Linked DNA regions of Mus musculus. Each later gene encodes a partner of the first gene's protein in a complex. Links are inferred from orthologs where the notes say so. Each region holds a gene or a part of one and is shown in the gene's direction. Other genes may lie near its edges. The genes, in order: Med13, Med20, Med7, Med8, Med4, Med12 and Cdk8.

The links.
Region 2: Med13 (region 1) and Med20 share a complex: the UniProt entries of both Homo sapiens proteins name them as parts of the mediator complex. The link is inferred for Mus musculus from reciprocal best matches to the Homo sapiens genes MED13 and MED20.
Region 3: Med13 (region 1) and Med7 share a complex: the UniProt entries of both Homo sapiens proteins name them as parts of the mediator complex. The link is inferred for Mus musculus from reciprocal best matches to the Homo sapiens genes MED13 and MED7.
Region 4: Med13 (region 1) and Med8 share a complex: the UniProt entries of both Homo sapiens proteins name them as parts of the mediator complex. The link is inferred for Mus musculus from reciprocal best matches to the Homo sapiens genes MED13 and MED8.
Region 5: Med13 (region 1) and Med4 share a complex: the UniProt entries of both Homo sapiens proteins name them as parts of the mediator complex. The link is inferred for Mus musculus from reciprocal best matches to the Homo sapiens genes MED13 and MED4.
Region 6: the proteins of Med13 (region 1) and Med12 are in contact, whole or in part, in a cryo-EM structure (PDB 8TQC), measured with the Homo sapiens proteins. The link is inferred for Mus musculus from reciprocal best matches to the Homo sapiens genes MED13 and MED12. Residues at the interface, in NP_005112.2 of Homo sapiens: Ser157, Glu158, Thr336, Val337, Pro339, Gln340, Ser341, Gln343, Lys344, Trp345, Lys347, Phe348, Asp1186, Ile1189, Leu1190, Gln1193, Asp1194, Pro1332, Ile1333, Thr1335, Leu1337, Tyr1340, Asp1341, Tyr1342, Asp1343, Tyr1344, Leu1345, Val1346, Leu1347, Ser1348; in NP_005111.2 of Homo sapiens: Ala3, Phe4, Arg12, Pro13, Arg16, Leu86, Thr123, Thr127, Thr150, Pro152, Val153, Met154, Arg155, Phe242, Pro278, Leu281, Arg282, Arg356, Pro357, Phe360, Gly361, Cys364, Gln367, Thr368, Cys372, Pro407, Glu408, Phe413, Val417, Lys1526.
Region 7: the proteins of Med13 (region 1) and Cdk8 are in contact, whole or in part, in a cryo-EM structure (PDB 8TQC), measured with the Homo sapiens proteins. The link is inferred for Mus musculus from reciprocal best matches to the Homo sapiens genes MED13 and CDK8. Residues at the interface, in NP_005112.2 of Homo sapiens: Thr1616, Met1617, Asp1618, Arg1619, Lys1621, Val1622, Gly1623, Ile1624, Pro1625, Thr1626, Asp1627, Gly1628, Asp1629, Ser1630, Val1732, Lys1733, Thr1734, Leu1735, Thr1736, Gly1737, Phe1738; in NP_001251.1 of Homo sapiens: Leu9, Glu12, Arg13, Arg71, Lys74, His75, Pro76, Leu81, Gln82, Lys83, Val84, Tyr133, Asp137, His140, Tyr141, Met330, Gln331, Phe335, Leu336, Leu340, Pro341, Thr342, Ser343, Asp344.

Annotation. Positions count from the first base shown.
Region 1 is NC_000077.6:86,298,597-86,302,096, reverse strand, and holds part of Med13 (mediator of RNA polymerase II transcription subunit 13), read left to right. Parts: intron 1-541; coding exon 542-632; intron 633-752; coding exon 753-967; intron 968-1,250; coding exon 1,251-1,447; intron 1,448-2,900; coding exon 2,901-3,500. UniProt on the Homo sapiens protein: Component of the Mediator complex, a coactivator involved in the regulated transcription of nearly all RNA polymerase II-dependent genes.
Region 2 is NC_000083.6:47,618,085-47,621,584, forward strand, and holds part of Med20 (mediator of RNA polymerase II transcription subunit 20), read left to right. Parts: intron 1-724; coding exon 725-978; coding exon of another isoform or gene 979-993; exon of another isoform or gene 994-3,500. Other genes in the region: Gm20517 (predicted gene 20517), read left to right, coding at 725-978. UniProt on the Homo sapiens protein: Component of the Mediator complex, a coactivator involved in the regulated transcription of nearly all RNA polymerase II-dependent genes.
Region 3 is NC_000077.6:46,439,961-46,443,221, forward strand, and holds the end of Med7 (mediator of RNA polymerase II transcription subunit 7), read left to right. Parts: 5' UTR 1-15; intron 16-602; 5' UTR 603-619; coding exon 620-1,321; 3' UTR 1,322-2,761; downstream 2,762-3,261. UniProt on the Homo sapiens protein: Component of the Mediator complex, a coactivator involved in the regulated transcription of nearly all RNA polymerase II-dependent genes.
Region 4 is NC_000070.6:118,408,062-118,412,136, forward strand, and holds the start of Med8 (mediator of RNA polymerase II transcription subunit 8), read left to right. Parts: upstream 1-1,275; 5' UTR 1,276-1,319; coding exon 1,320-1,325; exon of another isoform or gene 1,326-1,488; intron 1,489-2,823; coding exon 2,824-2,942; intron 2,943-3,464; coding exon of another isoform or gene 3,465-3,512; intron 3,513-3,596; coding exon 3,597-3,741; intron 3,742-4,075. Other genes in the region: KICSTOR complex protein SZT2, read right to left, coding at 1,102-1,128. UniProt on the Homo sapiens protein: Component of the Mediator complex, a coactivator involved in the regulated transcription of nearly all RNA polymerase II-dependent genes.
Region 5 is NC_000080.6:73,508,832-73,512,848, forward strand, and holds the start of Med4 (mediator of RNA polymerase II transcription subunit 4), read left to right. Parts: upstream 1-1,217; 5' UTR 1,218-1,229; coding exon 1,230-1,354; intron 1,355-2,323; coding exon 2,324-2,390; intron 2,391-4,017. UniProt on the Homo sapiens protein: Component of the Mediator complex, a coactivator involved in the regulated transcription of nearly all RNA polymerase II-dependent genes.
Region 6 is NC_000086.7:101,294,591-101,298,090, forward strand, and holds part of Med12 (mediator of RNA polymerase II transcription subunit 12), read left to right. Parts: intron 1-1,251; coding exon 1,252-1,498; intron 1,499-2,002; coding exon 2,003-2,143; intron 2,144-2,328; coding exon 2,329-2,410; intron 2,411-2,596; coding exon 2,597-2,640; 3' UTR 2,641-3,500. UniProt on the Homo sapiens protein: Component of the Mediator complex, a coactivator involved in the regulated transcription of nearly all RNA polymerase II-dependent genes.
Region 7 is NC_000071.6:146,300,312-146,303,374, forward strand, and holds the end of Cdk8 (cyclin-dependent kinase 8), read left to right. Parts: intron 1-1,264; coding exon 1,265-1,390; 3' UTR 1,391-2,563; downstream 2,564-3,063.

The DNA of each region.
Region 1 (3,500 bases):
AGCCTACTTAGGTTATATAAGGCTTTACCTATCTCAAAAAACAAACAATCCAATCCACCAAAAAATGTTGGTGGTGAGAGATGCTAAAACTTGGTTTGTTAGGAAGTTTCCCTGAACTTATGCTCAGTATTAGATCTGTAAAAATATTTTTGCTAGAATAACTTTATTAAACCAAGGTGAAAATTAAAGAATTAAGAGGAGTTATTAATTATTTAGGAAATCTTAATATCTTTTAAATTAAGGGACAGATTCTTTGAATATCTTTTGCTAAAAAAAGAATTGTGTTAATTTTACCTTTCTTGCCTTTTACTTGTTTATTGCTTATTTTCCTGAGGATGCCCTTTTCTCTGTTAATCCCAAGACTTACCAATGCACTCCAGTGATGGATCTACCTGTAAACTGTCTAGTATGATATTTAGCTCTGTCGTAGACTCAGAAAACCACTTTTGATGACCAGTACTTAATCCTTTAACTTACATATAAGCGAATAATACTGTGTGATCACTTTGGGTTTCACATTAATATGTTTTTCCCCCCATAGCCTGGATCTAAAAAGTCAGCAAGTGGATCAGATGATAAAGCCAGCTCCAAAGAATCAAAGACAGGAAATCTGGATCCGTTGTCCTGCATAAGTAAGCATCCCAAATCTGAGCTCCAGCTTGGCTTAAAAACTTAACTCCTTTCAAAACTCCTTCACTGTAAACAGACTCACCTCTTTTAGTTTGTTAACATGGGTGTTGTACTACACACAGGCACTGCAGACCTCCACAAAATGTACCCCACGCCACCCTCACTGGAACAGCACATTATGGGCTTCTCTCCAATGAATATGAATAACAAAGAATACGGTAGTGTGGACACAGCACCCGGAGGGACTGTCCTGGAAGGAAATAGCTCTAGTGTAGGAACGCAGTTCAGAATCGAGGTCGAGGAAGGATTCTGTAGCCCTAAACCGTCTGAAATTAAAGTAAGTATTTTCTAGAAAAGTCATTTCCTCCCTGTGTTTTCTTATAGGATTAATTGCTGTGTTTAAGAATTTTTTCACAGTTGATTTTAGTGTTATGGCTAATAAATATGAGGAGGGAATTGTGGGACCACTATGTAAAATGCATTCAAGAATAAAAACAGATAATATTTATACTTTTGTCCATTTAAAGAACAGGCTAGAGAAGATAGTCGCTTTGATTCTGTTTCTTTGTTTTTGTCCCTGGAATATAAGGCACTGAAAGTCCCCGTTCTTTATATTGTAGGATTTTTCTTATGTCTATAAGCCCGAAAATTGTCAAGTTCTAGTAGGATGTTCCATGTTTGCACCTTTAAAAACTCTACCAAGCCATTGTCTGCCTCCTATCAAATTGCCAGAAGAGTGTGTTTACCGGCAGAGCTGGACTGTTGGAAAATTGGACTTGCTTCCTTCAGGCCCTTCAATGCCATTCATCAAGGAGGGGTATGATTGATGATGTTATTATAATACTGATTGCTTGTGTGGGGTGTGTGTGCGCGAGCGTGTGTGTGAGCGTGTGTGTGAGTGCCCGTGTGTGTTAGAGGGCGGCACTGGAGACTCTGCATGAGTACGAGCCACATGTGTTGCCGTTTACTCACTTGAGACATGGTTTCTCATTGGATCTGAAACTTGGTGTTTTGTTGAAGCAGACTGACCAGCAGCTTCCTGGAATATGCCTGTCTTTGCCTCCCAAGTGCTGGATTATAGCTTGTTTAGTTAGTCATGCTCAGCTTTATCACATGGGATCTGAGAATCTGAACTCATGTCTTCAGCTTACACAGCAAGCACTTTTACCCATTGAGCCATTTCTGCAGCTCAGCTTTTGTTTTTCTTGAAGTAGCTGGTATGCTGGAAATAGAACATTGGTTTTGGAAATCCTAAGTAAATAAATTTAAAATGATTCTTGTTTATCATAATGATAATAGAGATGGATTAACTCTTTGAGACCATAGACCAGAAACCATAGACCATTTTTGATTTTCAAGGTACCTTTTCTTTTAGCCTTTGATTCTGAATTGTCCTCTTTTTTATACTGCCATTTTACAATTACTTCACATCATAACAGATAAAGTTTTGCATTTTATTACCAGTCACATTTTTATAATTACTATGGCCAACTGGGCAGTGGTGGTACATAGTGGCACTCAGGAAGCAGAGGTAGATGATCAAGTTTAAGGACAGTCTTGTCTATAGATTGAGTTCCAGTGCAGCCAGGGTGTGCTACACAGAGAAACCCTGTCTCAGAAAATCGAAAACAAAAACAAACCAAAAAATCAAAGCAAAACATTCACTATTACCACTTTCTAACACAAACATCCCAAAAGTCAGAATTTATTTTTTGCTATCAGTAGCAATTAGAGTCAATGAAGTATGGATATTTGTAGCATTAGAAATTTATAGATAGTAAATATGGTTGTCCAGATGTGGATGCTTCATGAATTTTTTTAAGTCTTTGTGTATCCTTACATGACTTCATGTGCACTACATATGTGTAGGTGCCCACAGAGACCAGAGGACATCAAGACACCTTGGAACTGGAGTTAATAGGCAGATATGAGCTTCCTGATATGGGTCCTGGGAACCAAACCTCTGAACCTATGGCCCCCCAAAATGCAGCAAATATTTTAAACTCCCAAGCCATAGTTCTAGTCACTGCTTCATTTTATAATCTTGAATCTGGTTGCTTATTATTTTTGATTCTAGTTAGCTCACAAGAATCTTTATAGTGCTCACAGTAAACCTGAAATAAGTCTTATTTCTCCCTGTAATCTTGTAATGATTACCATATAGAAATGTCCAGTGTTGCTTGGAAGTGTATGGAGGATGCTGTTTTGTGTTCCATATATTAATGTGTTCTTTTATGCATTTGTTCCTCTTTTTACCCTGGTGACAACAGTGATGGCAGTAATTTGGATCAGGACTATGGCCCCGCCTACACACCGCAAACCCATGCTTCTTTTGGGATGCCTCCGAGCAGCGCACCTCCTAGTAATGGTGGTGCAGGAATTCTTCCTTCCCCATCCACCCCTAGGTTTCCAACTCCAAGGACTCCAAGGACTCCAAGGACCCCTCGTGGGGCTGGTGGGCCTGCTAGTGCTCAAGGTTCAGTCAAGTATGAGAATTCAGACTTGTATTCACCAGCTTCCACCCCATCTACATGCCGACCCCTCAATTCTGTTGAACCTGCAACTGTTCCTTCCATCCCTGAAGCGCACAGTCTTTATGTAAACCTCATCCTTTCAGAATCAGTAATGAATTTGTTTAAAGACTGTAATTTTGATAGTTGCTGTATTTGTGTCTGCAATATGAATATCAAGGGTGCCGATGTTGGAGTTTACATTCCAGACCCAACCCAAGAAGCACAGTATCGGTGCACCTGTGGCTTCAGTGCTGTCATGAACCGAAAATTTGGAAATAATTCAGGATTATTTCTTGAAGATGAACTTGACATCATAGGACGTAACACAGACTGTGGGAAAGAAGCAGAAAAACGTTT
Region 2 (3,500 bases), on another chromosome or scaffold:
GGCAGAAAAAACTTGACTCAGCTTGACTGTGGTCTACTGTCCCAGCCTACTGTTCATAGGCTCCCTATTGCAAAGCCTCTGTAAGAGCATTTAGATTTCAAAGGCAGCATTGGCAGGGTCCAGAGAGGCATGCCGATGTTTCCCTTCTGTTTTATGGTTGAGGTTCTAGGGCTGGAACTCAGGATGAGGCCAGTATCTGTTACCGAGCAACACCACCAGCCCTTAGGGTTTTTCTTGTTTTGTTGAAACTATAGATGATGATATATAAGAGCTTGTCTATAGCCGGGCGTGGTGGCGCTCGGGAGGCAGAGGCAGGCGGATTTCTGAGTTCAAGGCCAGCCTGGTCTACAAAGTGAGTTCCAGGACAGCCAGGGCTATACAGAGAAAACCTGTCTCGAAAAACCAAAAAAAAAAAAAAAAAAAAAAAAAGAAAGAAAGCGTCTGTCTATGGGTTATCAATCATGATAAAAAGTCCTCGTATATACATACATACCATTCAACTCTTCTCAGCACCCAAGAATTTTCTGGTGCTCGTAGGGTATGTTTGGCCTCTGTTGTCTGGCTGGCTTTTCCAATTACCCGCATCTCTGGAAAAGGCTAGCACTTAAGGATCCTTCCCTCTCAGGCTGCCAAACTGCCAGCTGGCCTTGTTTGGTGCACTTGACCTATCCCGGGGTGTGTTGACAAAGGTCGTGATGATGAGTGGGCCATCTGTCCCTTGCAGGCCAGGCTGGGAAGCTGATGTACGTGATGCATAACTCTGAGTACCCACTGAGCTGCTTTGCCCTCTTTGAGAATGGCCCTTGCCTCATTGCTGACACCAACTTCGATGTGCTTATGGTGAAGCTCAAGGGCTTCTTCCAGAGTGCCAAGGCCAGCAAGATTGAGACCCGGGGCACTCGCTACCAGTATTGTGACTTCCTGGTGAAGGTGGGCACGGTCACAATGGGGCCCAGTGCCCGTGGCATCTCTGTGGAGGTAAGACCTTGGTGAAGGACAAGCAGGATATGCTGTGGGCTCCACAGTAAGGATTCTGGAAGCTTTCCCAGCCCCACTTAGTTCAGGTAGACTCAGACAGTATCGTCCCATGCTCCACTGCAGGGGTCCTTTTTTGGTGGCTGATTTTTTTGCCCGGTGGGAGGGCTGGAGGTGGTGATTCATGTCTCATGCCTTGGACTTACTATGTAGCCAAGGATGACAAACTTAATGTTGCTCTCTTCTGTCCCCGAGTGCTGAGATTGCAGCAGTGTGCCACTCTCCCCCGCTTCTTTCTTAGGTTATGCATTTATTTAGACAGTTTCATTTGGCTTGGACTCTCATTCTTTGTTTGTTTGTTTGTTGTTGTTGTTGTTGTTTGGACTCTTCATTCTTATGTCTTCATATGTTTCACCTTGCCTGGTTTGTGTGGTGCCTGAGATGCAGAACAGACCTTGTGCTTGCTAGGCAAGTACTGTACCAACAAAATGCTATATCCTCAGCTCAAAAAAAGAAACAGAACCCTGTCCCAAAACAACAACAACAACAACAAAAAGAAACAGAAACATATATGTATATGCATGCATGGGGTTATAGGAGCTTTCTTTAGGAGATTTTTTTTTTTTTAGATTTTTTTTTTCTGAATATTGGGTATTTTGCTTGCATGTATGACTCTGTAATACATGTGTACAGTGCTCACAGAGGCTAAAAGAGGGCATCTGATGCCTTAGAATTGGAGTCAAGGACTTTTTAAAGTTGTTAGTCCATATGGGTGCTAGGAACCAACCCCAGGTCCTAAGAGCAGCAAGTGATCTTAACTTTTGGGCCATCTGTCCAGCACTGCTCTAGGGTTCTTCTATCTTTTCTTTAGTCATTCACTCTCTAACCCAGAATTGAAGTGGGTTCGCAGCAAGTAAAAAGCTTAGAGATGCTCACTTGCTGGAAACTGAAGGCATAGGCAAGGAGAGGAGGGGAGTGAAGATATAGAGACCAGCACCCTTTCCAGGAAGGGCTGGAGTACCAGCTCTCTGAGGGTGGTCTGAGGTGGGCTGTCAGTCATGTGCCCATGTGTCCCTCCTTAGTATATGTTATGAGTGGTCTCCAGAGCTGTGGAACAAACTCTACTTTTCCCTTTGGCATCTGTCCACTTTCACGGTGGCCAAGAATGTGTGTAGAAGATGCCTTTGTCAAAAAAATGATTACACTTGCTTATGGTGGGCGTAGATGTAAATGCGCCATAGCACACTGACAGAGATCAGAGCATCCCGTTCTCTCTTCCTACCATGTGGGTCCTAGGGATTGAACTCAGGCTAGCCGGCTGGGTAGCGAGCATCATGACTGGCTGATGGCCTGCAACATTGAACCTAAATATGTGGTATTGAAAATGACATATGGAGAGATAGCTTTAGAGTGAAAATCCATAGCCTTCCATGTGTCCCGCATGGACTGAGATTTTAGAAACAATAAAACAAGATAGAAGCCTGCAGGGCCTCCCTTTTGAAAATGTATCATTTAGTAAGCAAGCGAAGCTGAAACACAAACTTTTTTTTAAGAGTATGTAAAGTTTATAACTGTTCAAGTATAGTTTCTTTTGTAAAAAGTGCTACAATAACAAACTACATTTAAAAAGAGTTCTTAGTAGGGAAACAGTAAGTTCTATGAGAACACAGACTAGCACAGCACAGGCTAACACTTTGTGCCTGGCTGGACATTAGAGGTTAAAGGTCCTGGGAGGGAGCTCCATCCTCAACTTGGAAGGCGAAGCCTTCAGGGGGAGTTTCTGGCACCACATTTTGGTCTTCCTCCGCTGAGAAGTACTTCTCCATTAAGTTCAATGAGGCTTTGTAGACAGACTCCTTTTCATGGCTTTGTAGTGCTTCAATTTTATCCAAGGCTCCATACTCTTCAATCATTATACTGAGCTTTTCTGTCTCACCTAGTTTCTCGGCAGCCTGAAAGATATTTGAAATGGCATCAAGAATAACCTGAATAATCTTGGTATCTTTTGCACTTAAGAGGTTCATCAAAGGTTCTGTTATCCCACAATGAACGAGATACACAATCTGCTCAACAGTCCCACCGCTGGTAGAGTTGGTTATAGCCCATGGCCTCCTTCTGTGTCTTAAAGTCTGCCTTAGAGAGGACACCAACAAGAAAGGGGACTAGGCCGTGATTCACTACTTGCTGTATCTGGTTCCTGGTGTCCAGCTGTAATGTAATGTAATGGTCCATGTGGCCTCCTTCTGAATATTAGTTTTGGGGTTTGTTAGCAGGCTGGGAAAGACTGCAAGTGCTCCTGCATCTATCACTTTCTGAGTCTGCTCATCTGTTCCAGTGACAGTATTCCCTTTGGGTCTTAGAGCGGGAGTCACAGTGGGCAGTTCAGTGGCTCCTAGAAGCTTCACAAGTTGGGGAACAACTCCTTTCTTCACAACCATCTCAATGCGCTGCTTTGGACCATCAGTCAGGGAGGAAATGGCCCAGCAGGAATCTGCTAGTACTTCTGGGTCATGGTGGTGCAGGAG
Region 3 (3,261 bases), about 40 Mb from region 1:
CTGCTCTGGTCTTAGGTTGGTACTTTTTTCTCTCATCAGTGAAGTTTCATGACACAGTAACAAATGTCACAAGACCCTCTCCCTCCCTCACACCCTGCCCTGCTCTTCTCCCCCCCCCCCCCCCAGTATACTTTGCCCGGTCTGTTTTTGAGAAATTGACAAGTCTTCCGTGCTCTGGAAGGATTGTTTTGTTTTTGTCATTACTGGTATTGTGGGTGCCTGTCTTCCACTGAAATGTGGCCTATATCTGAAGATTTTTCCCGCAAGCCCCAGTAGATAGAGAGCTAATGTGGGCTGTCCCAGCTTCCATTTCCCTCAGACATTCTCTATAGAGGAAAAAGATGTAGCTTTTGTTTTATTAACTACTGTTGAAAACCCTGAGGAAATAAAGGAAAATACATGGATGTTAACATAATATTTAATTAGAACATAATTGATAGCTATTCACTGCTGTAAATGTTAATTTTAAAATCTAAGATCATCTTGTCTTGGACTGTGTACTGTCAGAAAAAGGAAGAACATATTCTGAAGTCACTAATTGGGGGCAGCAGGAGGAAGGTGGTGTTCATGATTCTGTTCTGAATCGTGCTCTGTTTCTTTAGGTTCTTGATTGTCTACAATGGGTGAACCACAGCAAGTGAGTGCACTTCCACCGCCTCCAATGCAGTACATCAAGGAATATACAGATGAAAATATTCAGGAAGGCTTGGCTCCCAAGCCTCCTCCTCCAATTAAAGACAGCTACATGATGTTTGGCAACCAGTTCCAATGTGATGATCTTATCATTCGCCCTTTAGAAAGTCAGGGCATTGAACGGCTTCATCCTATGCAATTTGATCATAAGAAAGAGCTGAGAAAACTCAATATGTCTATACTGATTAATTTCTTAGACCTTTTAGACATCTTAATAAGAAGTCCTGGGAGTATAAAACGAGAAGAAAAGCTAGAAGATCTTAAGCTACTTTTTGTACATGTACATCATCTTATAAATGAATATCGACCCCACCAAGCAAGAGAGACTTTGAGAGTCATGATGGAGGTCCAGAAACGCCAGCGCCTTGAAACAGCTGAGAGGTTTCAGAAACATCTGGAACGAGTCATTGAAATGATTCAGAATTGCTTGGCTTCTTTGCCCGATGATTTGCCCCATTCAGAAGCAGGGATGAGAGTTAAAGCTGAGCCGATGGATACTGATGATAACAGCAATTGTCCTGGACAGAATGAACAACAAAGAGAAAGTTCAGGTCACAGAAGGGACCAGATTATAGAAAAAGATGCTGCCTTATGTGTGCTAATTGATGAAATGAATGAAAGGCCATGAAGAATATTCCTTTTTTTCCTTTTAGTAAGTAGCATCATATATTAGTTTATTTCCTCTCAGACAGTCTTAAGAGGTATAACTAAAGATACTAAGAGACTTTTTTTCAATTGAAATGCTGTAGGTGGTAATTTAACACTAAACATAGGCCAGCAAGTATATTTGAGTAATTGCCATAAAAAAGCTGAATGTTTGCTATTGTTTGAGATAGTCCTATTTTTTGGAGTTGGAATAAAAACTTGAAGTAATAACGAATTGTCATTCTTGGAAAAAAAGTTATTTGCTTCGAGACTAATAAAGGGCATCAAGTGTACATGTGAAATTATAAAATGTTTAGATTTATTCCAAAATAATATAGAAAGTTTATTTTTCTGATTACTGTTCCAGCAAACTCAGTATCACAGCTTTTCTCCTCCTTATTCTCCATAGAATATTTGTTAGGGACTCTTTTTTTGCCCCAGTCAGGTAATGATGTGGTTATGATCCAATTCTATGAGAAATGTACATACTTCACCTTCACAGATGGATACAGGCTTCCCCCAAAAGATAACTCTATTGAGTAGCTATTCAGTCTCAACATAGCTTCTTTTCTGGTTTGTGTTTGCTAAGACTATCCTAGTCTCTTAGCCATCATACCACCCTCAGAAGAGTCTTGCTTCCAAAGTAATCTAATCAGAACACCTTGTCCAGTTTATATCCTTTTCAAACACATGTATATGTTGGTAGCACAGTTCTAATCACAAAGCTACCCACAACTCAATCCGTCTTTAGTCATTACAGATGAGGAAGTAGAGGTTCAGAGAAGTTGACTTAACCAACTAATAAGTGGCAGAATCAAGTTAGAAAGTAGGTATTCAGTTTCATAGCCAAAGTACTGAACTTCATTCTCTATCCTCTAGTCTGTCATACTGGAAATCATAACTAGAGCTACTCCAGTTTTCTAATCTTGAAATCCACCCTAGTAAATACCTCATGACACTAGACTCAAGAGGATACATTTGTTGATTGGAAGAATGACTTCTCTTTAAACATACTCAGGAGGCAGGGTTTGTTGGTTAAGACTTCCATATCTTAAGATGGTGCTTGTAATTCTACCTAAAAACCCTTCTTAGTAGGTAATGTTCCTAACTAAGACTCATAAGAATTAAAACTTCACATTTATGGTTTGGTTGGGCAAGAGTCTATGTGGGATAAGAAATCGGCAAAGATTTTTCTTGTTTTGCCCCCTTCTCCCTTTTTTGGTTCCTTGTCATCTTCATCTGGTGGTAAACTTACTGTACAGCCATTTAATAGGCATTGAAAGGTATACAATTTCTCTTTCATAATACTCATCTATGGCTTGACAGCAGTCATAGACAATAGGTAAATGAAAGCACTGCTCTAATCCAACTCTCATATATGAACAATTGGAATAAAATATGGACGCTGAAAATTGAAACTCAATTATCCAGGAATTTTGTGAGATATTTTGAGTTTTTGGGCCACCTAAATGTAAATTTCTACACTCTTGGGAGTTGAAAATCAGATCACGGAGTAGATTTGGCTGATGGCCTACATGGTTTAAATCCTGAAACATCACTGAGATACTAATGGAGGGGCAGTAGGTAAGGGTGCTAGCTTAGAATTCATGGTTGAAGGAAAGAATGGACTCTTGAGAGTTACAGTGAATACACTACAGAAATAAAAACAGCAAAATCTCCGTAGAATTGTTTTAAGGATTGAAAGAGATAACAGCTAATATTCTTACCACTTGTTAAAAGTTTTACTTATTTTTGGCATTTGTAGCCCTGGCTGGCATGAAACTATATAGACCAATCTGGCCTCAATCCAAATCCTGCTACCTTAGCTGCAGTGTTGGAGTTCTAGGCAGGTGTCACCACACTCAGCTTCTGGTTTTACTTTTCATTTGGAAGTAACTGGGAACAATTATGGGGCTCCGTGTG
Region 4 (4,075 bases), on another chromosome or scaffold:
CCTAGCCTCTCTAAACATCACCCTTTCTTCTTGGTATTCTGTTTCTACCCTATTCACTCATAGGGTTTTCATGTGTGTAGTTTATCACATCCTCCCCATACACGGGTGTGTGTACTCATACATTATACATATATAAGATCACACCCGTGTCAGAGTGCACGTGTGCAGGTCAGAGGACAACTTGTAGCTGTAGAGCGAGCTCACCTACCTGGGAGTTCTAGCCCCAATACTAGCTGCACAACTATGCTTCTTTTAATAGTGGCACCTCAGTTTCCTGAAAAGAGGGATGATAATGGTGTTTGCCTTATAGGGTTGAAAGAACTGGTAACAGTAAAGAGCTCAGAATTGTGGCTGGCATACAGTAAGAATTCGACAAGTAGCCATTGCTATTTGTATCGTTACGCACATGCATCAACCTTCCCTCCTACAAGGCTATCCCTCTGGGGTCCTGGACACGCTAGCCAAATTTGGTACCTCCTCGGATCCGCTCGTTCAGTTGGAAGGAGTAGTCCTAAGGTATCTTTGCATGGCATGACACCTCACCTGCTCTGACTTCAGTTGTCTGCTCTGTACATGACAATAAATACTGCCAGATTCCCTGCTGGAGTCTGAATGTCAAAACATACATATAGGGTTCTTTGCATCTAGGGGGTGGGGGGTGGGGTGGGGGGGCGGGTGCCTCGTCTGCCTTTTCTGCCTTAACTTGTGATCCCCAAGCCACATCACAGAACAAATACTTTTATAAAGAAGGAAGCAGGGTCTGTCCTAAGTTAAGACTGGCCAGAGGGTTGTAGGGCTTTGCCAAGAGCACGAACGCTAGAGCGAAATCAACTCATGCTATTGATTGCATTCCAATAGATGAGATACAAAAAACCCCGCAAAGTCGGTCAGCTTCGGCGTGGCACAATGAAAATCCCAACTAATAACCAAAACACGAGTTTTTATCAGCATCACTATCGCTAACAAGTCTGTGGATGGGCGACGAAGATCAGGATGGCATCTGAGTAAACAAAACAGCAACGGCCTCCTTGAGGCTCCGGAGGGTGAAGGCTGCCACACGCCCGCCCTCGGGCCTCGGCCCCGCGCCCGCCCATCCCTCACCTCTGGCTCGGGGCGCTCCGAGGCCATCACACAGCCCTCCCGCGCCGGCCCGGGCCAGGGAGGTTGCTCCACTCCTGACCTCTGACCCGGCTAGTTCTGTACCGGGCAGGAACCGGAAGTTGTTGGGATGGTCCCGTTTTGAGTTTTCTGATTGGTGAGCGCAGCAAGCCGTGCGAGAAACCGGAAAGGGAAGTGGTTGCGCCCGCCGGGCCGCGGCAATGCAGGTGAGAAGCGGGTTGGGCCTTATAGCCGCTGGCGGGAGGGTGATTGGGCTGAGGACACCGGGGAGTTGGGGCTGTGAGCGGAGGGCAGAGGAAAGGCAGCGGAGCCAGAGAGAGCGAGGCCAGCTGCGGGAGGCGCGGGCATCGAGCCCGCTGATGTGAGAAGGTCGGAGGCCCGGGGAGGAAAGGCGGACTTGATTGAGCGTGGAAAAGGATCGTGGTGGCATTTGGGAAGGCTCGGGAAAGTAGTGGGCTGCCGCACGCCTCGATCTAGGCTGTTGGACACAGGCGTCATAAGGCTTCAGAAGGCTAAAGGGATCGTGGGCCTCCAAGGATGAAAACTAAGCTGTTTGTAATTCGAGGCTGTGGGTGGAACCCGGTGTCCAACCCCCTCAGTCACATAGTCAGGTTTGCAAATCAGCTTTGCATCATTCTTCCCGGCTTGTACCTCGTTGCTAAGGGCGGAGAAGTGGGGTAAATAGTCCTCAGATAGTCAAACGGAAACCCTCTGCCGCCTCAGCGTTTAAAATTGTCTAACACTCAGAAACAATGTGCAGGTTTCCTCGCCTTTGTCTTTCATTACTCTTTCATTACTCACTTGGCTTGTTGCATCTGATAAACCTACACTGTTTATGGGTCACCCGAATTATGAAAGAGACACGGGAATATTGGCACAAAGATGCACGTTGACTTTCCAAAGCACCAAATGCTATGGATAAACGGCCAGTTGGGGGACCGGGAAGGGGATTGCAGAGCTGGTATTCAGAGAAAACCTTACAGAGAGGCAACGTGTGAGATTGTCCAGATTGTGTGGTTGACAGTAGCTACACTCACAAGAGGATGACCAGAGGCACCCATGATATAATGAACTTCGGGAATTATTTAGGCTGTGTGTGCAGATAGCACCCCTGTTATCATGGCAAACCTTTCTGAGGTGAACTGAACTTCCTGAAAAAAACAAAACAAAACTGTGTCAATGCCAACACCACAGAGTGACACGAGGGATTCTCATCCACCCAAGGAAAGCAGCGCAGTGACAATAAGCAGTCGTGAGGTAGGCAGGCCACATCTATTTTCCAGAAGAGGAACTGACAAAGAAGAGTGTGCAGAAACCTGAGCACGTTCCTATTAACCCTACTGCAAATCTAAGAGAATGTTGTCTACTGGGAGAGGCAGTGTTTGAGAGCTGGGAGGAGGAGAGCATGGAATTAAAAAGGTGCAAGGCTAAGTGAGTTCGAAGCCAGTTTTGTTACAAAGACAAATCATGAGGTTTCAAGCCAAAGAGAATTAGGTCTGGTGCAATGACCTTCTTGAAGGACCACAGTGTAGGAGGGTTATAGAGGAATCAGTTAGTAGGAGGACTTCAGGCCAGGTGAACAGGTTGAAAGGTCTAAGGGTTGATGCTATCTGTAACCCAAATACCAAGATAGAAAACAATTTAGCTTTTCTGAATGTGTCACGCTCACTTGTATCTGAGTAACCAAACACACTGTTGATGCAGAGGGAGGAGAAGCAGCTTGAGGCATCATTAGATGCCCTGCTGAATCAAGTGGCCGATCTGAAGAATTCACTGGGGAGTTTCATTTACAAGTTGGAAAACGAGTATGACCGGCTGACCTGGTAAGGATTGCCAGGACAAGCTGGGGAGGGATCCATGGGTGGTGGGGCCAAGCCCCCTGGCTGACAGGACATCTCCAGCGATGTACCCATTTATCAACTTGCAAATATCCTTTTTGATTTGGAAAGAACTAGGTTGCCCAACATTGACAAGTTTAGTTTGGCTTAAAGCCTCCATGGCAAGGAAGTAGAAAAATGTCCAGTTTCCCAACCTAGGCTGTTTCTAGGTTTTAATTCTTACGCTTTGGCTTCCTTAGTGAGGAGGCATTTCCTCAGTGGAAGACCATTATAGCTCCATTTATGGTGGCTCTCCTTCCACACATGAGGCTGGATCTGAGATCCAGCCTTCTGGAATGATAGAGTCTGTTACTACATTAGGGAGGAGGCTTTACAGACTTACTACAGTGTAACCACAGCCCCTGTTTCCACTGCTCCCAAACCCAGTCAAACAGTGGGTTGCCTTTTTTCTGTATCTATGTCAAAAATTGAAAGTGTGTTCCTCTTTCCCAATTCCATCTCTACTAGCAAATCTGGTTCTTGCCTATGCCAGACACAGGGCTGCGAGTCTTCGGGGTGAGTCTGAGTGTTGCAGCATTAGGACTTTTAGAGGTTACTTTGTAGGGAGAAGTAACTCTGGTGACTTCTCGCCACCTCCAGGCCCTCTGTCCTGGACAGCTTTGCATTGCTTTCTGGACAGTTGAACACTCTGAACAAGGTCTTAAAGCATGAGAAGACGCCACTGTTCCGAAACCAGGTCATCATCCCTCTGGTGCTGTCCCCAGACCGAGACGAAGACCTCATGGTAAGACACACAGTATCTTGTTGACTGGATCCTCTGTGTGGCCATGAAAGGTGAGGGCTGCCGTCTGGAAGACTTGTTTTTATCCTTCTGGGGTCAGGAGAGTCCCCCTTAAAGAATGAAGTGAAAATCAGGGCCTATCTCACCAAGTCCACGACCTTCCTTTTCCAACATCTATGTCAGGCAAAAAGAAAAAAGTCTGTCCTGCTTGCCTGTGACTTTGCTGCAGTCTTTAAAATGTGGGGTTGAGAATTTAGCTCAGTGGTAGAACAGACACAAAGTCCTGGGTCCCCAGAATAGGGGTGGAGGTAGAGATTCACAAAAGACCAAAACAAAA
Region 5 (4,017 bases), on another chromosome or scaffold:
GAAGTATTATTCAGACTTCAAGGGAGGGGTATTCTGGCACCTATTCCAATGTACATGAACCATGATAGCATTATGCTAAATGAATCAGCCTGCTATAGGGGCTCAGCATTCAGTAGGCTGTAATGAGAAAGTGAGTTCCTTCTTAGTTTAGGACTAGTTTACACAACAAGATTCGGTCTGAAAAGAAGGAAAGAAAGAAAGAAAGAAAGAAAGAAAGAAAGAAAGAAAGCAAGCCAACCAAACAAAGCCCAAATCCCCCAAAACCAAAAAATAATAACAAGCAAACCCCCAAGCCCCAAACTAGAACATGTGATTCTACTCATTCAAAATGCATAGAATAGCCAGACAAACAGAAAGTACAGTGTGGTTTTCAGGAACGGGAAGTCAGACCTTCATGAGCACACCTTTTTTACATTTTACAAGTTGAAGAGTTTTGGGGATGTTATTTAGCCGCAATTTTTTGTTTGTTTGTTTTGTTTTGAGACGAGGTTTCTCTGTGTAACCCTGGCTGTCCTGGAAGTCACTCTGTGACCAGGCTAGTCTCTAACTCAGGAGATCTGCCTGCCTCTGCTTCCTTGAGTGTTGGGATTAAAGGCATGCCTCACAACTGCCTTGCTTAACAGCAATTTAGTGGCAGTGAACCCTACACATACAATGGTTAAGATACTGAATTTTAGTAGCGGGGCATGGTGGTACACCCCTTTAACCCCAGGACTCGAGATGCAGGCAGATCTCTTGAGTTCGAGACCAGCCTGGTCTATAGGCCAATTATATGTATTTTGCTACCAAACAACGGAATGGGGAGGGAAGAAAAGATTTTACTTCCTGCTCTAAGTTTACTACAACTTCACGAGAGACCAAACTTGATGGCTGGGATTTTATCGGAATACAGACAAAATAGAAGTTAATAATTATGTAATTTCCCCAGTTTAAAAAAAAAATCTTTTGTTAGAAGCCTTCCACTGATGCTGAGGAAATAAAACCCAGGAGACTGGGAACTGCATCTCTCATCCTGGGTCCGGTTGGAGCATGTCAGATTGGAACGAGTCACAAGCCCTCCTTTGCCCTGTAGATGGCGCTAGAACTGTAGTGCACCTCCAGGCACATAGGCGGCGCTCTAGCCGGACCTCTCCGTCCCGACCTCTATTACTCTTCTTTCCTTCTTCCGGTTCCGCCCCTCCTGTGGCTAGCTCACACTGCGCATGCGACGGCTGGTGGTCAGCGGGGCGATGGCGGCTTCTTCAAGTGGTGAGAAGGAAAAGGAGCGGATGGGAGGCGTTTCGGGAATGGCCGGCCTTGGCAGTACGCGAGAGCGGCTTCTGTCTGCGCTGGAAGATCTGGAGGTCTTGTCGAGGTAACCGCGGCCCGGGAGCCTGCTCCGGCCGGCTCGGCTGTGGGCGCTGACTTGGGTAGGCGGGCTTGGGAGGCTCCGTTGGACGTGGGGTCTAGGGCCTTCGGGGGCTTTGGGCCGCATTTCCCCGCCAAGGGGACATCTCAGTCACATGACCTGGAAACCAAGGCAGTCAAAACTTTAGTAGCCGGTAAGAGGGGCAGATCCGAGCCCCCTCAGTCATTGACACGCAACAGACATTTAAAAGCACGCTTCCCCCCAGTAGTCAAGGGGAGGCTAGATGCCAACACGAAGGAGCCCAGGGTGACAGGAGAGACAAATGTGTTAAAACGCTATGGACCAGATTTCTAAGGGTTGAGCCGCAGCCTCCTGCAGTCCACCGATGGGATTCCTATTCTGGTGGTAGCAGGGCACACGTCCCCAAGAAATGGGCTGCTAGTCAAATCAGATTTGTTAGGCGTCTGATAGATAGCCCATCATCTGAAAAAGCCTGGAAACATCAGGCAGGGCACAGTGGGGTTGGCTGGTGTGTGGCCGAGATAGAGTAAATTGGATGTCACACTCCACATCGTCGTGATAGTCTTAAATCTATCAGTTGAAGTCTTATCAAGGGAAGGCAGCCATGGCCACCGTCTTACAAGAAAACATAATTTACACAAATGGCAGCACTATTGGCCTACAGACCTACATAGTTGAGTCAGGAGGTTTTCTTGTAAATCACAGCTGAGTCTTTATCACGTGCAGTTAGCCAGCGAATGCTGAAGTGTTTGTAGTCACCATGAGAGTCCAGCATGTTAGGAGGACCATAAACCCAACAATCGGTTGGGGCAGGGAGCAATTTAAACAGTTTCTTTTGTGTTTCTACTGTGTTATGAAAAGGTTTCACTAGATATCTGAGGCTGGTCTGAGTCCTCCCAAACACTGAGTTTACAGGCAAGTATCACCATACCGTGATGGGTGTTTTTCTTTTAGGGAACTCATAGAAATGCTTGCAATTTCAAGAAATCAGAAGCTATTACAGCTGGAAGAGGAAAACCAGGTAAACTTTTTGTTGTTGTTTGTTTGTTTTTTATTAAAAAGTTATTAATGCCGGGCAGTGGTGGCTCGCACCTTCAATCCCACCACTTGTGGGGGAGTGGCAGGTGGATCTCTGACTTCCAGGTCTACAGAGGGAGTTCTAGGGCAGCCAGCACAGATAAACCCTTTCTTGAAAAAAAAATAAGAGAGATAAGTTAATGTTTGAAAGTTCATATTTATTTTGTGTGAGAGTAGGGATGCTTCTTGAAGTCTTTTAAGTTGATACTTAAAAAAAAAAAAAAAAAAGCATTATTTTATTTTTGGGTTTTTCTGAGATTGTCTCACTGCCTGTTCTGTAATTCCGTAGACCAGGCTGGTCTCAAACCCACAGCCCTTGGCCTGCCTCTGCCTCCGAGTTCTGGGATTAATAAAGGTCCGTGTCAGTGTGCCCGGCACATTGATACTTTTCTTTATAGCACTTATGTAACACAGTGCCTATGAAAGTTCCCAGCCATACATAGTGGCTCACACCTTAAATCCCAGCACCGGAGTGTCCCAGGGAGACACATCGCTGTGAGTTGACGTTCTTCCTGGTCTGGATACAAATTTTATTCCTTACTTTTGAGTTAATCAACACAACCTTACAAAATGGAGACAAAGATAGAATGCTGGGAGGAAGTTGTTATTATAAACACCTGTATGTTGCTGCTTTATCCCCGTGAAACTTGAATGGAAATCAAAGATCCTCTCACTCTTACACGCTATGTATACTGTTCATCCATTCTCTTTCCTTTCCTTCCCTGTGCTTTCTTCCTTTCTCTTTTTGGAGTGTGTGTGTGTGTGTGTGTGTGTGTGGAGGGGTAGTGTTCAAGACAAGGTTTCTCTTTGTATGTAGCCTTGGATACTCTAAAACATACTCTGGTCACCACAGGGTCATAAGAGTGGGTGAGCTGCCCTGCTTCCTGATGGCTACAGCGCTTAGGAGAATTGACGCCGCACCTCACCAGGACGGCACAGTAGAGCTGTCCCTGGGTGGGGGAGCATAGGTGACCCAGCCCCGAGCTGGCCCAGCCATTCATCTACTGTGAGGTTTCCTGGGTGTGGGGGGGAATGCCCCTTACCACCTACAGTAGTTGAGAGAGCTGGCCCTGCCCCTTGCTGCCTGCAGCACTTTGGAGAGTGGGCCCTGCCACTTGTCTGTTATGAGGTGGTGTGGGTGCAGGGGTGATGCCCTCCCCCTCTTCCCCTGTCATCTGTGGTAGTCTGGAGAGTCGGCCCCAAGGCATGAATATAGGAGACTTAGCCTTGCCCACTCCCTAGCTGTAGCACTCAGGAGGGTGGGTCTGCACCACCTGAGCTAGAGCTGATGGTGAAGGTATGGGTGAGCCAGCCCTTAGGGTGTGAGAGCAGGAGAGCTGGCCCAGTCCCTTGACTGGGCAGCACAGTGGAGCTGGCTCTGGAGGAGTGTGTGCAGGCGAGCTGGCTGCTGCCAATGGTGGCACTGGGTGGCCTATTGGGAGTAGTGCTGAGAGCTCCCTGATGGTGCAGATAACAGGGAGCTGCCACCCAGGCCCAGATCCAAGTGTATTTTTCCAGTGTCATATCTCACACCTGCACCCTTTGGGAACCGCCATCCTGCCTCCTTATCT
Region 6 (3,500 bases), on another chromosome or scaffold:
AAGAGGTGAGGGAAGAGGATCAGAAGTTCAAGGTCATCCAGGGCTATATAATGAGTTTGAGGCCAGCCTGAGCTACATGAGACCCTTTCTCAAGGAAAGAAAAAGCAGTTGAGCTCTAGAATGGACTAACAAATGAATTTCATGGCTAACTTTAGTCAAATCTTAGTTAAGACCTGGGCAACTGTCCTGAGGCTCTGTAACTTAGGCTGTAGAATACTCTCGAGTGGCCTGATTAGTTGCCTGCTCTGTAGCCAGCATTATGCAGGGACTAGAGTGAGGAAAGATAGTGAAAAAGAAGTACATGGTTCCTCACCACAAAGATTTTTTACCCTAATTGAGAAGAAGAGGTCTTATACAGAAGATATTGTGCAGAGGAACCTTTAGAGAATGGTATGAACAAAGCCATAATCAGGTGTTCAGTTGGGTACCAGGAGGAAAATGGGACTTGAGGAGAGGTGGGCTACCACCAGTATAGATCAGAGTCACTGGAGAAGGACTCATGGACTCTCTGAGATAACTACGATTGCGATTTGTAGAGAAGTGGAAAAGGAAGGGCATTCCAGGTAAAGGATGCAGCATGAGCCAAAACATGGGACTGGATTGAGTGGCAACAGAAAGGAGCAGATCTTAAGTGTAGTGTGGAATGGATGCTAGAGAGGGAGCTGGGCCTAGCTTACAGAGGGCAAGTTGACTATGACATTGAATACTGAGGTATGGCATTGAGACACAACCAGAAAGGACTGCTTTGCTCAGGAGAGTGATAGGAAGGGCTTGGTGTGTTAAGGGGTTAGTGTGCAATGAATGGATGGAATGTAGGGGAAGGTGTGAGAAGACGGAAGAGAGGGAGCCCAGCTGCAGATTTTCAGGGATCTGCAGATTTAGGTAGAAAGGGCATATGGAATAGCAGAACAACTGGGTGTGTTTCTGGGGAGCAACAGCAGCCATAAAACCCTTGATAGGTGTTTATAGAATGTTTATCATGTGCAGACAGTTTTTCATGAGAGAAAAATAGCTAAAACAGATTCTAAAAATTCCTAAGCATTAAGGTTATGAGACAGTAAAATGGAGTATTGTCTTTGTGTTTTATTCTCTGACCTAGAAATCTGTCAGACTCCAAAAGGGCTCCTCTCATTAGTGCCAAGACGAATGAATACAATGACGTGTTAGTTTCTTTCAGGTCAGGGACCCAGGGTTTGCACCACCCCCTTTCCCTGCCCTGTGCTTTGACCTTTGGACCTCTTGTCTTTGGAGGTTTTCACACCAGACACTGCAGCAGACACCCATGATGGGTACCATGACTCCGTTGAGTGCCCAGGGTGTCCAGGCAGGCGTCCGTTCAACTTCCATCCTGCCTGAGCAGCAGCAACAACAACAGCAGCAGCAGCAACAGCAGCAGCAGCAACAGCAGCAGCAGCAACAACAACAGCAGCAGCAGCAGCAGCAACAACAACAGCAGTACCATATCCGACAGCAACAGCAGCAGCAGCAGATGCTACGGGTAAGGCCATGGGATTGTGTCAGACACTTGAGAACTCAAGAAAGAAAGGACATATTCTTCCCACACTATCCCCAAGATGAAATGTGAGGTAATGTAGTAAGCACTGAGCACAATGGCTGACCTATGTTAGTACTTTGCTTTTCTTTGGTTGCTTCAGACAGGGTCTCATACTATAACCTAGGCTAGTCTTAAACTCATGGCAATCCTCCTGCCTCAGCTTTCTGAATGCTGGAATTATAGGCCTATGCCTTCATAATGGGTTCAGCATTGGTGCTTAAGTGGCTTCCTCCCGACTCCTTTTCTTTTCATTTCCTGAGAATCATAGTGAGGAGGGAAATTGGACAGTCTTTGTCAGTTATACTATTTGGTTTCTTTCAGTTGTGGACCTGGAGTTCCCTCACTGTTTCTTGGCTCCAACTCCCTTTCCTCTTCCTGCTCCCATCTTTTCAACACAAAGTCCCAGCTCCATTGCTCTTCTTAAAATGATCTCTTATGTGCTTATAGCAACAGCAGCAACAACAGCAACAGCAGCAGCAGCAGCAACAGCAGCAGCAGCAACAACAACAGCAACAGCAGCAGCAGCAGCCACACCAGCAGCAGCAGCAGGCAGCTCCTCCCCAACCCCAGCCCCAGTCCCAGCCCCAGGTAGCTGCTGATCTATAGCCACAGGCTCAGGGCTAGCTGCACAGGATGGGCACATAGCCAATCCCCACTAGGAACAGTGTGTAATGGGGTAGCTTTGGGAGGTCAGGGATAACACTAATAGGTTAAAATGGGTGAAGGAGCTGGAAAGTTGGAGTTCTATCTTCCACTTTCCATTTTTAATCCAGTTCCAGCGCCAGGGCCTGCAGCAGACCCAGCAGCAGCAACAGACAGCAGCTTTGGTCCGGCAACTTCAACAACAGCTCTCTAGTAAGCCTATATCCTTCCAAAGAAGAATCTGGGGAAGAGGGGATGGGGTAGGCAGAGGTGGCCGAGGTGCTCGCTTCAGGTCCAGATTGTGGAGGTCCCATTCCCCCTTCCCCTTTCCTTCCCAGCCCACTAGCTTTCCTTATGAATATGAGCCCTTCTACCCTGACAGTCTCTCATTTTTCACAGATACCCAGCCACAGCCCAGCACCAACATATTTGGACGCTACTGAGTCACCTGGAGGAACTGCTTGTACACTGGATGTGGCCCAGCCTTTCTGCTTAATTCCCAGTCCCCTTCCTGGGCGAGCTCCAGTAGTGGTTGGGGTCCTTCCCTCAGGCTCCATTTTTAATGAATTTTTAGTATTTTTGTTAATGTGAAACATTGAACTGTTGGGTTTTGTATATTATTTATATAGAGATCCTAGAGCTGCTGCACTCAATACACAGAGCTTCTTTGCAAAAGAAGTGTGTGAATGTACACATGGAAGGGTCTCCTGTGAGAGTACCGGGGAAAGGATGAATCACTAAGAAGCTTCATGCCTTCTGCATCGTCTCCCTCCTCACCCTCTGCCTTTGCATTTCTGAGTTCTCGCTGCACTGCTACACTTGGTTCCCTGCTCGAAAGCAACCCGAATGAGCTCCAAGCCCTTGGTCCTCAACTCAACAGTGCAGCTTCATGACAGCCTTTTTCCCACTGGGGATGTGCCACTAGAGGGGGGGCTCATTGGGCTGGAGAGAAACCAGTGCAACCCCATCATCCTTCCACAACACTCCAGATGAGAGTAGGGTAGAGATGCCAGACAATGCCTGTCATTGTGTCGTCTCATGTAGTCCCCACAAATACACCAAGCTAACTAGAGAACTTCTCTGAAGGGAACATTTCTAAATAGTTGCTGTCTGTGCGCATGAGATGGCATGTGATGTGACAGAAGTTCCGACTAGTTCTAGCAGGAAGAGAGACAAGCAGGATGCCACACCTGTTTCTCCCTGACCTGCTGGAACCCCATGTTTTCATACAACCCACCTTGGCAGTTTCCCAGAGTGACTGTTTCTCACTCTCAACCCAAAATTTCCTTCAGAGTCACTTTTG
Region 7 (3,063 bases), on another chromosome or scaffold:
GTGAAGCAAAACACAGCTTCAGTGTTTCTCATCTATAAAATGAAGTTGGTAAGTCAGCTTAAACATGTGTGCCTTGAACTTAGCCAATGGCTGCTTTTGTTCCTGAGCACTGTAGAAGAGGAGTCAAGGCCACGGGCTCTTAGATCCCACCTACTTCTGTTCAGCCTTGAGTAAGAGAGAGACCTGGATGTTCTCCATGTCTTAAGTGTGGGGAGGAAGGTAGAACAGAAATCGCTTGCAGACGGCATCAGCAGCAGCAGAGTAGAAACAGTGACTAGAATGTGAAGCTGTGGGAAGACTGAGTGGCTGTGTGTTCTGAACATGGTGGCCTGCCTGGGGAAGCCCTGCACAGAAAGTGCCCTTACATGGTAGAATGCAGCTCATGAAGGATGTATGAGTTTGTGTATGTTTTTATATGTGTGGGCACACAGGCATGTGGATGTAAGAATGTGGTGTGTGTGTGTGTGTGTGTGTGTGTGTGTGTGTGTGTGTGTGTGTGTGTGTTCAGGCCCTAAGTTGATATCAGGTGTCTTTCCCTTGTTTACTGTGGCAGTGTCTTACACTGAACCCAGAGCTTGCAGATGTTAGCTAGTCTAGCCGACCAGCTTCCCCTACAGATCTTGTCTCTTCCTCCCAAGTGCTGGGATTACAGAGAGCCACCATGCCTACCAGCTTTTTTTGTTTTGTTTTGTTTTGTTTTGTTTTGTTTTGTTAAATACGTGTTTGTTTGTTTGTTTGTTTGTTTAATATATGTGAGTGCACAGTTGCTGTCTTCAGACACACCAGAAGAGGGCACCAGATCCTATTACAGATGGTTGTGAGCCACCATGTGGTTGTTGGGAATTGAACTCGGGACCTCTAGAAGAGTCAGTGTTCTTAACCGCTGAGCCATCTCTGCAGTCCGCCTACGAGCTTTTATATACTCTGGATATACACACTGAGTGCCTCATGCTCATGTCGCAAGATATGATCAGAATTGCCCACATGGTGTCCCAATTCTTACCTTCCTGGAGAGAAGCTGATGTGGGAAGAGTTGGGAGCTTTGTTTGTTTTTGCTCTGTTTTGCTTTGTATGGGCCAGCTGAGGGGTTTGCTGCTGCTTAGCCAGTGTTTTTATATTTTAATTCTAAAGCTAGTGCCTTACAGAAACTTATACATCTTTGCTTCTTTGAAACAAGATTCCCTTCCCTATCAGCCTTGATGGCGTGGGGCCAAGCTACCTCGAGAAGTCCCTGAATCACGCTTTTCCCTCGTCTTCTTTCCAGCGTTCCAATCCACATGCTGCTTATCCCAACCCTGGACCAAGCACATCACAGCCCCAGAGCAGCATGGGATACTCAGCTACCTCCCAGCAGCCTCCACAGTACTCACATCAGACACATCGGTACTGAGCTGTGCTGGAGTCTGTCAGTGCACTGTTGCTCATGCTGCAGGACTGGCTGCGGCACTCGCGGGAACCTGGTGTGGGCCATGCGAATGTACTGTACAACCACATCTTCACAATGTCCAGTAGCCGAGTTCCACCAGTTGTCACAGATTGGGGTGGTAGCTTCCAGGTTGTACCTAAGTTTGGAGTTAGACTTGAAATGAAAGTGCTAGCACAGTTGTGTTGTGGGTTTGCTACTTCCATAGTTTACTTGACATGGTTCAGACTGACCAAGCATAGTTTTCAGTGACAGTCTGTAGCAGTTGAAGCTGTGAAATGTGCTAGGGCGAGCATTTGTCCTCGTGTGTGGTGACTTTGAGTGTAACAGCGTGATCTGACCAATAGTACACACAGACGCAAGGTTTAACTGGTACTTGAAACACAGATTATGTTAACAAAATAACCAAGATTTAAAGATTATTTTGGTACACCTTTCTTTTTAGTGTCTTATCAGTGGGTTGATTCATCTTCTACATAAATCAGTGTTTTATGACCAAGAATATTGCTTGGATTGTTTTGAAAGTACAAAAGAACCACATAGTTTCTACTGACAGGTTTCAGAGCTCCCAAAGATTAATTTCCAACTTAGAGGTTTGTTTTTATTTTCAACCTATGACGACTTGACTGGTCTTAAAGCTGCTATTTGATAGTAATTAAATATGTTGTCATTGATAGAAGCCTGTTGGTTCAGCAAACTGAAATGAGTGTTGCAGACAGGGTTTTCTTTTCCTCGTTGGTGTTGCTGATTTGTGAGCATGCTTTCTGAATACAAAAGCATGAGTGGCGACCTCCGTGAGGCACGGTGACCTCCTCGAGGCACGGTGACCTCTGCGAGGCACGGCGTCAGTCCGCACTCTTCTGTCCTGATTTGAAGCTGCCTAGTGTAGTGCTATTACAATTTTGTTCAGTTAACTTTCTTTTTAAAAGGTTGTTCGCACATTTTTAGGGTGCCCTTACTTCAGCAAAGGAGAGGGAGTAGGAGAGCCTTAGAACTTTTGAGGGGAAAATAAAAAGCTATAACATACAACGTACTGTATCAAACTATTTTACATGAATGACACAAGTATTCTGAATAAAAAAAAATTGAACATTGTTAAAAACAAGGTGTTATGTAATAAATTTATTTTTCATAAATCAATGTATGGTGTCAACTATATTTTTCAAATTCACCAAGGGTCTTTTGTTGTATTTTAAAACATGCCTCTGTATAACTCTTCCCAGTGACTTATTGGTGACAACTGATGGCTTAGGCTGAGGTGTGCACTCTGGTCAGCTGTCTAGGTCTGTAGCACAGGGGACAGGTAGCTTTATAGTCGGCTAGTTCTGGTAATGGTAGTTCCACTCCGTTACCCTTGGTTCCTCCTTTTTAGAGCTAACAGATATTTTCTCAAAATCTGAAGCCATCCCTTTAAAAACAATCTAGCGCAGTCCACGAGCTGAGGAATCAGTACTGGTAGGCCTGACCAGAAGAGAAAGGGGGGTTGCTGGGAGTGGCATTTCCAAGTCTTCTCACCCCTGTTCACACCCATACTGCATGCCTTTGATCACACAGGTCCCTCCTTAACCCTCTGAATTGAGTGGTTGTGTTTGGTTTCTGTCAACCTTAGCTCTCACGGTGTTTCTTATGACCCTTACACG